2 linked regions of the Rattus norvegicus genome follow. The protein of the gene in region 2 purifies or fractionates together with the protein of the main gene of each other region. This does not show direct contact. Links are inferred from orthologs where the notes say so. Each region holds a gene or a part of one and is shown on either strand. Other genes may lie near its edges.

The links.
Region 1: the proteins of Mink1 (region 2) and Cnot9 purify together in Homo sapiens (affinity purification with mass spectrometry; 3 studies listed by BioGRID and IntAct, with this or other methods). This does not show direct contact. The link is inferred for Rattus norvegicus from reciprocal best matches to the Homo sapiens genes MINK1 and CNOT9.

The regions. Positions count from the first base shown.
Region 1 is NC_086027.1:83,531,326-83,537,185, forward strand, and holds the start of Cnot9 (CCR4-NOT transcription complex subunit 9), read left to right. Parts: upstream 1-2,043; 5' UTR 2,044-2,460; coding exon 2,461-2,484; intron 2,485-5,860. UniProt on the Homo sapiens protein: Component of the CCR4-NOT complex which is one of the major cellular mRNA deadenylases and is linked to various cellular processes including bulk mRNA degradation, miRNA-mediated repression, translational repression during translational initiation and general transcription regulation.
Region 2 is NC_086028.1:55,774,534-55,780,360, forward strand, and holds the start of Mink1 (misshapen-like kinase 1), read left to right. Parts: upstream 1-2,469; 5' UTR 2,470-2,671; coding exon 2,672-2,728; intron 2,729-2,734; exon of another isoform or gene 2,735-5,827. UniProt on the Homo sapiens protein: Serine/threonine kinase which acts as a negative regulator of Ras-related Rap2-mediated signal transduction to control neuronal structure and AMPA receptor trafficking.

The DNA of each region.
Region 1 (5,860 bases), on a different chromosome or scaffold from region 2:
TATTTGAATGAATGGATAAATAGAGTGATGAGTTTGGGAAGAAGAGAAAACAAACAAAACAAAAAAAAAACCCAGGGAGATCAGATAGAAGTGTTTTTTTAACTCATACTTACAATAATAATTAATTCTTACTTGCCAGTTTCTGTATGTCAATGCTTTACCAAGTTATAACACTCATAATAATCCACTAAGGTGAGAACTTTTTTGGGGGCAGGGTGGGTGTTTAGAGACAGGGTTTTTCTGCGTAGTTCTGGCTGTCCTGGAACTCACTCAGTAGTCCATGTTGGACTTGAACTCAGAGATCCATCTGCCCCTACCTCCCACTGCCCAGCTAAGATAAGAACTCTTATTCCTATTTTACCTGTGAGAATAAGTGCAAGGGAGATCAAGTCCATATGAAAAAGAACGTGGTTTGAACTAGAAAAATAAAAGTGAAGATGGCCAGAAATAGATGCAAAACATATATTGACGTAAAACAGAACTTGGAAAGGATATGAACACATAGGATGAAGAAATCAAGACTGCCTCTTAAGTTTCTACCCAGTGTAACTAAACAAATGGATATATGGCATCAAAATGAGCACGTCACTTGTGGTAGTGGACACTGGAAAAAAAGAGAATTTGGGTACAGAGAGAAATCCAGACTCTAGTTTTTTAAAATGTCATATTTGAAATTCCTAAGGGAAAAAAATCAGATTGAGATGTTAAGCAGTCAGCTATTTGAATATGGAGCTGAAAATAAAAATCCTCAATTTATCAACATATAGTAGAATTTAAAGCTTGGAGAGCAAGAGAAGAGAACCCCAGTCCAAAACTAAATTATTTTACCGTGCCAAAATTTTTTTATCAAGACAACTGATTACATCTGTCCTTGGATTTTTCAGTCCCTCCTTTACCTTTTGCCAGTATGCAACACTATTCTTTTGGATATTCACCCACATATTAACATGACAAATCACAAACGTACCATACAAGCACAATAGTGTCTATCTGTCTGGTCCAGAATCCTCCTCTAATACCTAACCCAATAAATCCAAATGCCCTCTTAACAATTCCCTCTTAGATTAGCTCTTTCAACTATAGACGCATTAGATACCGTAACTCGCCAAAAGAAAATCTGAACACTACAGTACAACTTTCCAACGACACGGAACTTTATTACCAATTACTTTTCTATTTTTCGCCAGATCTTGATTTAAAATTGGTAAACTGGACATCGTCAGTGTCATGGCTAGATACGGGTAGCAACCAAAGCACGACAAAAATTACACTCCCTTTTAGCGAGTAATGTTTAAGGGGAGTAGAAAAGTAAAGAATGGTCAAGAGGGCGAGTGAGTACCGTATCCAAGGTCTTGATGAATATGTGGCAACAAAGTCACCTGTAAAGACAGCAGGCCCTGCAAGGAGGCAAGCTGAGACCACCTGAACCCTGGTGAAGAGGAGCCAGGTTTAGGATGCAGAAAGCAAGTGACAGTAAGGACTTCGTTAAAAGAGAAAGAAAGTAAAGAGGAAATACTCGAATGGGGGCACCTGTAGGCATAGGGAGAGTCCAAGGACCCGGGGCGGGCTGAGAAGCAGCCCGGCGAACTCTGAAGTGGACGCCGAGTGGGCGGACCGCACAGGGTGGGGGGGGGTGCCGAGGAAAACGGCTCAATTCAGAAGCTGTCCTGGCTCGCCTTACCTGTGCCAGAGGGTCCCAGCTCCGGACAAACATGCCGGAAGCATAAAGTTCCCGCGGAGGGGGAGGGGCCAAGAGGTTCGGAAGGAAAGAGCTCCCGTAGTCCCAGACAGCGAGGCCGGTCTCTCCCCTAGCACACCTAAACCCTCTGATGGCGGGAACTGTGACTAGACGCAAACACGTACGGACGCACGCACTCTCGACGCAACCAGTCCAGGCGCGTGCGCGTAAGCGCGCAAGTCCCGCCCCTCAAGCATTCGCTCCGCCCCATACTAAGCCCAGCCCCTAACCCGGGCGGCCCCGCCCCTGTCGTGACTGTACTGTAATACACATGCGTACTCTCCACTTTACCAACTTTGGACCTCCCACCATTTTCCTCTCGCTCAGCCTGCTTGAGCATGCGCAGTTTTTGTCCTTCCAAGACTGCTGGCCTTTTCCCGCCCTTCTCTGGCCTTAGGAGGAAAGTCAGAGTTCACGTTTCTTAGGGGATATACTTGCGATGCCGGGGGGATACGAGGACCAGTAGTTTGCAGACGTCATTTTGATCCTGAACCTGAAGGTTCAAGGGACATACTTTGGGACTATTTGTTAGGCCGAGGTCCAGGAGGCGGGAAAGGGCTGTGTGGGCGGAGGGTCGGAGGTGAGAGGTCAAAGGGCTGCGAAGAGGGAGGAGCGAGCCGGAGACGGATGGCGGCTCTTCATCTTCGGCTGCAGAGCCACTAAAGCTGGGACGCGGGTCCGGCGCGTCCAGCGGAAGAAGTAGAGCGGCCCCCGCTCCCAACATGCACAGCCTGGCAACGGCAGCGGTGAGTGGTTGCGCCCGGATGTCCGTCTCAGCCCATTTTCTAGTTCCCAGATTTGGGCCCCAAGTCTAGCTGCTTCTGCCCCTAGTCCCAAGGTCCGGGAGTCTCCACACGCAGACCGTGGCGGAGCCGGACCCCGCTATCCCCTCAAGACCCCTCTCCTGGCCTGGCGCGCGGCCTCTTGCGTTCTTTTCCGGCGCCGAGGCCTGGTCCCGCGCCCCGCGCTGCCTCAGCAGGCCATTCATTGATTCTTTTGCGCTCGGCGTCAGTTTCTGGTTGCCGGTTGTGTGCTGGGCGTCGGTGGAGATGAGGATAATTCCACGGCCATTCGCTCTGGTCCCGTGATCCCATTTCTCCTCGCCTAGGCAGATCTCAGTGATTAGAAATAGGCTTCTAGCTCAAGCCACTTTGCATGAGGAAAGCCAAAGACTATCTGACTTAAGGTTCTCTGCATTTAAAGCCTTCCTCGCACCTCTCGTTTTATCCTTCCAAGAAAAGCGAATCATGTATTACACTTCCCTAAAGTCATACTATGACTTTCGGTTAAATTTAGAGAAATTAGACTCCTTGACCTACAATTCCTGTATGATATGGTCCTTAGTCACGTTTATGGGCTTGATTTTTGTCACTTGCTCCCTAAGCTCGGACCAAAATGTATATGAACTTTTCTGTTGCATATTCTCTACCTGGATTGTATTTCTTAGGACTCTGACTCCATACATGGACACAAGTCTACTTCAGAGTGACTTTATCCGACCATCTTCATAGTAGCTTGTAACCCCAATATTTTCTCATAAAGAGCACTGATCCCAGTTTTAGTTACGGGATTTTTTATTTATTTTTACTTGTGGGTTGTCTCCTGGAAGTCAGGGGTAGGTATTTGGTGAGTCGTGTTTACTTGTTTTCACCACCACTGGGACAGTTCCTACTACAAGGTAAGCACTCAAATATTGCTGACCTGAATAGGTACTCCCACAACCGGAAGCAGCATAGTTTAAGAACACTTGCCAGTTTCACTTTCACCAAAGGGAAATGCTATCAGGAAAACAATCTACTAGGATTACATTATGAGACAACATGACGTAATGACTAAATAAAACATGAAAAACTACCTTAACTTCAAGTATAAAATGAAATATTTAGGACAGTCGTGCTTGGAAGGCAGAAGGCAAGTAAATTTGTGAATTTTGAGGCCAGCCTGGTCTATATGGAGAGTTCCAGACCAGCGTGCTAGCATAGTGATATCCTGACCAAAAAGAAAAGATAAACATTCTCCAGAGTGTGGTGGCAGCACATCTGTAATAATAGCTCAAACAAACAGACCACAAGTTCAAGATCAGCCTGGCAATTTTTTTAAATCTCAGAAAACATCTTTTTAAAAGATGGTTGGAGGGGCTGGAGAGATGACTCAGCGGTTAAGAGCACTGACAGCTCTTCCAGAGGACCTGAGTTCAAATCCCAGCAACCACATAGTGGCACACAGCCATCTGTAATGGGATCTGATGTCCATGTATCTGAAGACAGCTACAGTGTGTACTTATAATAAATCTTAAAAAAAAAAAAAGATGGTTGGAGATAGTAATTATAGCAGAATATTTGATCTAGCATTTGTGACATTCTGGGTTCAGTCTCCAGAGACTCCTCCCAAAAGTGAACAATCTGATTGGCATGACATGTTTTTAATCCCAGCACACAGGGAAGCAGAGGCAGGCAGATCTCTGCATTCAATGGCAGCTTGGTCTATGGAGCATTTTAGACCCAGTCTCAAAGGGGAAAAAAAAGTAAGCAACCCAGCTAAGTGTATGTAAGCGAGACCTATACAGAAACATTGCTTTAGGAACGAGTGAGATGGCTCAGTGAGTAAAGGGACCTGTTGCCAAGCCTGAGGACCTGAGTTAAATCCCCAAAACTCACAAGACACACAGACTAATACACATAAAAAATATTAACATGCCACTTTATGATGTTTATTTCTTCTTTTCAAAGCAAGTGATATTTTATATCCTGTTTCTAACTGTTCAAGTTCTGTTTTTTTAAAGGTTTATTTATTTTATGTGTACACTGTCTCTGTCTTCAGACACAGCAGAAGAGAGCGTCAGATGCCATTACAGATGGTTGTCAGCCACCATATGGTTGCTGGGAATTGAACTCAGGACCTCTGGAAGAGCAGTCAGTGCTCTTAACCGCTGAGCCATCTCTCTAGCCCCCTTGTTCAAGTTCTTAATTAGGGGACTATAGTTTTCATAGGGGGAGGTGTGCGTTTATATAAGCACAAATAAAGAATATATGTAAGCCACATACGAATTTCCTTCATTGCACAGCCTGATTGATAACTGATGGCCAGCTGTGTTGTGTTTTTCTGTAGTGGTTTTGCAGTTCTTAGAGGAAACGCTGAGCAATCTCAGCACAGTAAGATTTGTACAAAGGAACACTGCAAGCTTTCTAATGCTGTGGACCAGGAGTTTCCAGACGCCACTGGGCAGCCTATGCTTTGTTTTCTAGTTGTTCCTATGATTATGTTAGTCATGAGAATCTAGTCTTTTAATCTCCATACCTTTTGTCAATATCTCAAGGTTTGCGTTACCCTTAGTTTTGACATTGGTCTGATTGGTGCCCAAATGAAATTCCTGGTCCTCTTTTTGTCCTCACTTTGCCAAGGTCTAGGAGCAGCCATGAAGGGAGGCAGATGGCAGTCAACTGACAGGCAACAACTGGACAGAAGCCCCTAGCTTCTTTTGTTCCTTCTTCCCCAGTTACACATATGATTTGAGAAGCAGCAAGTTGAAAGGTGGCGTTGGCAGTAAGGGAGTTCCTCAGAGTTGGATGGTGGATCTGAGCGTCTGAGCGCACATGCTTCAGTACCGGTCTCCTCTGCCCAGATGCTCGTTTTCCTTTGTGGTTTTGTTCTTTTGTTTTTTGTTTTTGTTTTTGTTTTTTTTTTCGTCTTTTGCCTTTTGTCTTTTTTTTTTTTTCCTGCCTAATGCATTATTTGAATAGCTGTTAAAACTGTGGCACAGTCAGCCAGCTACCACAATGGTATATGCCTTTGGTCCCAAACTTGATGATCAGGAGTCAGGAGCAGGCAGATCTCTTCACGTGCAAGGACAGCCAGGGCTACATAGACCCTGTTTCAAGAAGCAAAACAAACAAAAACCTGTGGTACACTACTTAAAAAGGTCTTATATAGTTCTTCAAACTACATGTACAGTGCCATACATAAATTTAAAAACATTTGTTACACTGCTTGACCCACATGGCAGCTCTGACAATTTCTTTTGCACTAGACATTCATTAGGATAATTGATAAGGGACAAGACTGAAGAATAAAAATTTGAGCCAATTTCTTTTTTTCTTTTTTTTTAATTTATTAATTTAATTT
Region 2 (5,827 bases):
GATTACAGGTGTGCACTGTCACACCTGGATTTTTTTTTCTTTTTTTCGGACCTGGGGACCAAACCCAGGGCCTTGCACTTGCTAGGCAAGTGCTCTACCGCTGAGCTAAATCCCCAACCCCGTCACACCTGGATTTTTGTTCGTTTCTTAAGACAAGCCTTCATAGGACACAGGCTGGTCTGGCACTCACTCAGTAGTCCAGGCTGGCCTGTACTTTCTGGGAATCTTTTTGCCTCAGCCTCCAGAGTATTGAAATTAGAGGTTTGACCCACCACACCAAGGAGACCTCCACACACTGTGCAGTATAGCACCCCTGCATGCATACAAATCCATGTAGCAAAATATTGTAAAATAACATGCATAGAGAGGTGATTTCAGGGAGCTGGAGAGATGGCTCATGGGTTAAGAGCACTGACTGCTCTTCCAGAGGAATCCCAGCAACCACATAGTGGCTCACAACCATCTGTAATAAGATCTGATGCCCTCTTCAGACAGGCGGGTGTATAAGGCAGCAGAGCATTAAATAAATACATTAAATAAATAAAAATGCATAGAGAGGTGATTCCAGCAGATCAGGCAAAGCAATGGCCAATGAGATTGGTCATGGCTGGTGTCTCAGTCAGATTTCTCCTTTGTAATAAAACACCATGACCAAAAACAACATGGAAAGGAAAGTGTTTACCTCAGCTCACACTCCCTCACTGAAGGAAGTCAGGGCAGAAACCTGGAAGCAGGAGCTGAAGCAGAGACCACAGAAGATTGCTGCTCACTGGCTTGCTCCACCTGCTCTCTTACACAATGCTGGACCACTTAGTGGGCTGGGCTCTCCCACATCAATCACCAGTTAAGAGAATGCTTCACAGGCTTACCCACAGGCCAACCTCGTGAGGGTGTTTTCTCAGTTGAGGTTCCCTCTTCTCAAATGGCTCTAGCTTGTGTCAAGTTGACATAAAAGTAGCCAGCATAGCTGGAAGTTGGAGAATACTCCAGGGGAAAAAAAATAAGTGCAAAAACAGGTAAGAGATGTTGAGTTCTGGGAGCTTTAAGTAGAGTATATTTTAGTGCATCTGGAGCAAGTTTAAGTGTGGTTTATTAAAATATAAGACCAGAAAAGAACATGTATATGTATATGTATCCAGAGAAACAGGCAGAATCTTGAAAATCTTTGCTCTCGCACAAGGCAGTGGGAGCCATCAAACGGTGTTTTTATTTATTTCAGGTTTTTTCCCAGTCCTTACATAGCCCAGGCTAATAGAAAATGTAATACTCCTGCCTCAGCTTCCTAAACGGCGGGGTTCAGAAAACTGTTTTTAAACAGGAAAATGATGCCAGATTTAAGGTTTTAGAAAAAAAAATCACTTCTGGATATGAAGAATTGATTTGAGTGTGCCAGGCAGAGAGGTTATGTGGGAAGGCCAATCGGGGATTGTGGCTTGCATATTAGGGGCAAGGTAAAGAGTCAGGAGAGTATCCAGAGCAAGTTTGAATGTGCATCCAAATGTGCCAAGAAGCCTCCAGAGAATTCAAGCTCACCTAAGCAATGTTTATGTTAATTTTCAGAGGGAGTATTAGTGTTGGAAGAGCTCTTGAAACACTCAGAACCTTTCCCCCTGGACTTAATAGAGAAAGAAAAGCTCAGAGGCAAATTCACTTGTTCAAGGTCACATAACGCATTAGTCAGTGGCAGAACATGTCTGTCTATGTTTACAGAGCATCATCCATCCTCTAGAGAGACTAACCGGCTGGAGGTGCTGTGTCAACATGAGGAAATCTAGGGAGCTGGAACAAAATTTGAAGGGATTGGATACAGTTTCTTCTTCTTCTGCTTTGCTACTAGCAACTCCAGCAATAGTTCCTGAAGAACACTGTGCTAAGAGAAGCAGATATAAACGTGTGCAGTAGGAGTGCCTATCTGCTCCCAACATCCCCACTCCAGCCAGAAAAGGGAGTAAAGGGCAGACAGTACCCCATCCTTTCCTCCCACGTGGTTTCTCCAGCCAAGTTCTCACGGAGAGGCCCCTCCTTCAGCGGCTCCACTGTTACCATGGCAATTGGGTGGGTGGACAGCCCGTCCTATCTAGAGGCCAGCAGCCCTCGCGTGGGGAGTTACCATAACAACCCCCCTAGTAATAGAGGGGGTTCGGTCCCGCCTCCCTTCCCCCGCAAATAGAGAGGTGGGTGGTTTGATTGGCAGCTGGGCACACGAAAGAGGGAAAGGGAAGGAAAGGAGTCAAGTAAAGATCAACGAAGGAACTAGGAGAGGAAGCAATAATAATAAAAGGGGAAAGGAAGGGAAGGTGTGTGCGCACGCGCACCGGCGGGTGGGCGCACTCCTTCCAAGCCAGGTTCCAGCGAGGCTCGGTCCGCGCGTGCCCTCCGCCAGCTCTCCTGCGCCTGCGCGCAGGTGTCGGCACCCCGCTGGAGGGGGTGCCCGGCGCGTTCGCGTCACGGTCCGCTCCGCGCGTGCGCAGGGCAGCGGGCGGCTCGGGTTGCAGGCGCGCGGGTCAGAGCGCCTGTCAGCCGCTGGGTCGGTCCTCCCGCTGGCCCTCCCCCTCCCCGGCCTTCGGGGCAGGCGCGGTGGAGCCCGCCCCTCGGGTCCCCCGATGGGGGAGAAGCGGCAACGGCGGCAGCGGAGTGAGCGAGCCGGAGCGTGAGTGGCCCCGCGGCGGCCATGGGCGACCCAGCCCCCGCCCGAAGCTTGGACGACATCGACCTGTCTGCCCTGAGGGTGAGCACCGCCCCCAGCCTCGCCCCCGCGACCCCTGCCCGGCTCCGGGGCTCGCGCCGCCCAGGCTTTCGCCCTCTGGAGATTCTGGAAGCCGGTTCGGTCCCCACCCTGTGCTGCCCTCCCCCACACTTGCGTACCACCCCTACCTTGCTGCTGGGATCCGAGTCCCCTCCTTTATAGGCGTTTGAGGGTCACCTTTGGCATTCCTAAACACAGCCCTGCATCACCTGCAGAGCCTTTCTTGCTCCCCCAACCCCGTCGGCCCTTATGTCTGCTTCCTCCACCTCCTCCTCTGGCTCCTGGAATTTTGACTTTGCAACTGCCTCAGCCTCCCCCTCATCCCTCGTTTTCTTCCTCGCCTACCCCTGAATTGCAAGTTGGTCGGCATTTCACCTCTCACTCCACCCCACACACCTCCTACGTCTACATCCCACGTTCACTTTATCCCTTTTCTCGTGTTTCAAGTGCAGCTTTTCAGACCCAGGCATTTCCGGTCTCGGGGTCCCTGAATATTACATTACTAACTCTGCAGCCGCGTGGGGCTGGGAGGACAGACAAGTGCACAGTGGGAGGAAGGGAAGCCTGGATTTCCTCGCAAACTCGGACCGGAAGACGATGTTTACATACATGTACAAACACACAATACATGCTGCCTGTGGTCAGTAGGGAGGACTTGGGGAAACTCGTGGGAGTGGAGGCCAAGGAGAGTTGGAGGGAGGGGCTCATTAGGGAAGCGGTTAGGAGGAAACAACTGTGTCAGGAATGCTTTCAAATAACCCATTTATTGTTCCACGTGGGGCACTTACTCTCTCTCCTTCCGGAATTTTCAATTCAGCAGCATTTGTATGTTTTTCTTTAGCGGGCAGTTTTGTCTTAAGGGCAACATAGAAATTTCAAGGTGAACCACTCCAGACTGTCTCTCTCCCAGGTGGTGTTTGGATTCCGTCCCCTTCGAGCTTTCCCAACCTGCGTAGGTGTAGATAGAGCAGGGTTTCCCCACCTCATGCTTACCTTCGCAGAAGGTCTCTCTACACATTGTCTGCTGACTTTTAAATTAACCAGGGAAAAGGCAACCACCCCACAAGTGCCCCGGATATGACTGGAGGGGAGAGAGAATTGAAGAGAGCAGAGTCATGTTGTTAATTGGGTTTCTCTAGGTGACACAGTTTTGTTTTGTTTTTTTTTTTTCCCCTCCTCCCTTGCCATTCAGGTCATAATTTGTCTGGTGCAACGTTGGGTTTCTGGAGAACAAGATTGAGCATTAGATCTCTCTCTCTCTCTCTCTCTCTCTCTCTCTCTCTCTCTCTTTCTCTCTATCTCTCGCTCTCGCTCTGTGTGTGTGCGCACTTTGACAGAGAAGGCTTTAGGAGATAAGCTTAGTCCGTGTTTAAACTAGGATACTCAAGTCCATTGGGATATAAGATGTAAGTCCAGGTTTTGAGTAAAGTTTTAATGTGCTTGAATTTGGAATGCAATTGCAGATTGAAGTTGTTAATTAACTCTGGGCGCAGGTTCTCTGGCTGTGGTGACCATAAAGAAACACTGTTACTCCGTGGGTAGGTGCAGACCGTGACCTTTGATTTTTCCCTTTGGTCCTCTGCTTCTCTTTTCTTTTGGTTTCTCTGGTAACTTTATCTGGGCCCCCATCTTGGCGTTTCCAGCAATTCTGCAATTACTGTTTGACCTTGGCCATGGTATTTCCCTTCTGGACTTCCCTCCATGAAGTATGTTAGCCTCCTTCCATGCTTACTTCTCCTGGGTTTCCTCTCCTTCCCTTCAAGAGAACCGGGTGACCTGTTCCTTATACTTCTATCTGTCCTGCCTTCTGCTTCTGAAGAAAACAACCCATTTCTCTCACAGTGGTACTTCGAGACCTGAGGAAGAGCTGCAGTTTCTTGAAATGGGGCTGAAAGGCTGCTCTTTCCTTACTCCTGGCTTCCTTTGCCATTGCCAGTCTGGTCCAGCACACCTGTGAGAAGTGCTATGGCCTATCAGGCAGCTGGCCCAGTCACACCTTGTTCTGTTGATGCTTTCTAGATAGGAATGGAAACATTGGGTGAATTAACCAAGTATGCAAGCCTGGTGTTGGTTGTGTTAGAGTGAGAGAAGAGCATCCTTAGGGTTGAGTAGCTAGCCTCTATGAGCCTCAGATGTCTTTCTCCTCTTGTTTCAAGATAAGGTTTGGCTTTCAATTGACAGTAAGAGCAATAGTCTGATATTAGAGGAAAATTGAATTGCACTAATCTCTTAGTAAGGAGGCCAGAAGGACCTGTTACTTTGTAACCACACCACCCTTGGCTTCTTGGGCTGTTCATCCATCAGTACGGTGGCATAATGTAGAGGGGGAGGAACATGAGTCTGGTGTTGCTTTCTTGAATTGAAGTCCTAGCTTCCTTACTTCCTGTAAAATGCAGACCTTGGTTCTTTATCCTTACTTCCCTTCCTTCAGACTCTGCAGTCTAACTTCCCTAAGCTCCATTTTCTCGCCTGTGTGATGGGAACGGCAATAGCGTTAGACATAGTTACTGAAGTTAAATGAAATGATGCACGTTAGTCGGCTCAGTTCCTAGCATAGATCAACTGTATTACCAGTCAGAAAAGCCTCCCAGGAGAACTCTAATAAATAACACTCTCTCCTTGCTTTATGTTTCTGTAAAATTCTGTTTTTCATACTTCTTATCACTAAGAAGGCATAGATCTATTTCTGTCAGTCTTGACTAAAACATGAATTAAGGCTGGGGGGACTAACTCAGTAGTAATTGTCTGTTTAACATGGGCGACACACTAGGATCTTCAGTGCCACAAAAATAAAAGCATACTGTAAGCTAGAATTCTGACTGCCCTGTTCCCTGTCCTCAGTGCCTAGAGCGTTTTATGCAATGGGACTCAGAGACTTGTTAAGTGAGTGCACGCTGGAACAACTGGAAGCTGTTAGTGTAATGCTTGCTTAAAGTAATAAAGAAATGCGGGGTTGGGGATTTAGCTCAGTGGTAGAGCGCTTGCCTAGGAAGCGCAAGGCCCTGGGTTCGATGTCCAGCTCCGAAAAAAAGAACCAAAAAAAAAAAAAAAAGAAATGCTAGACTTGGCCAGAGGAGATGG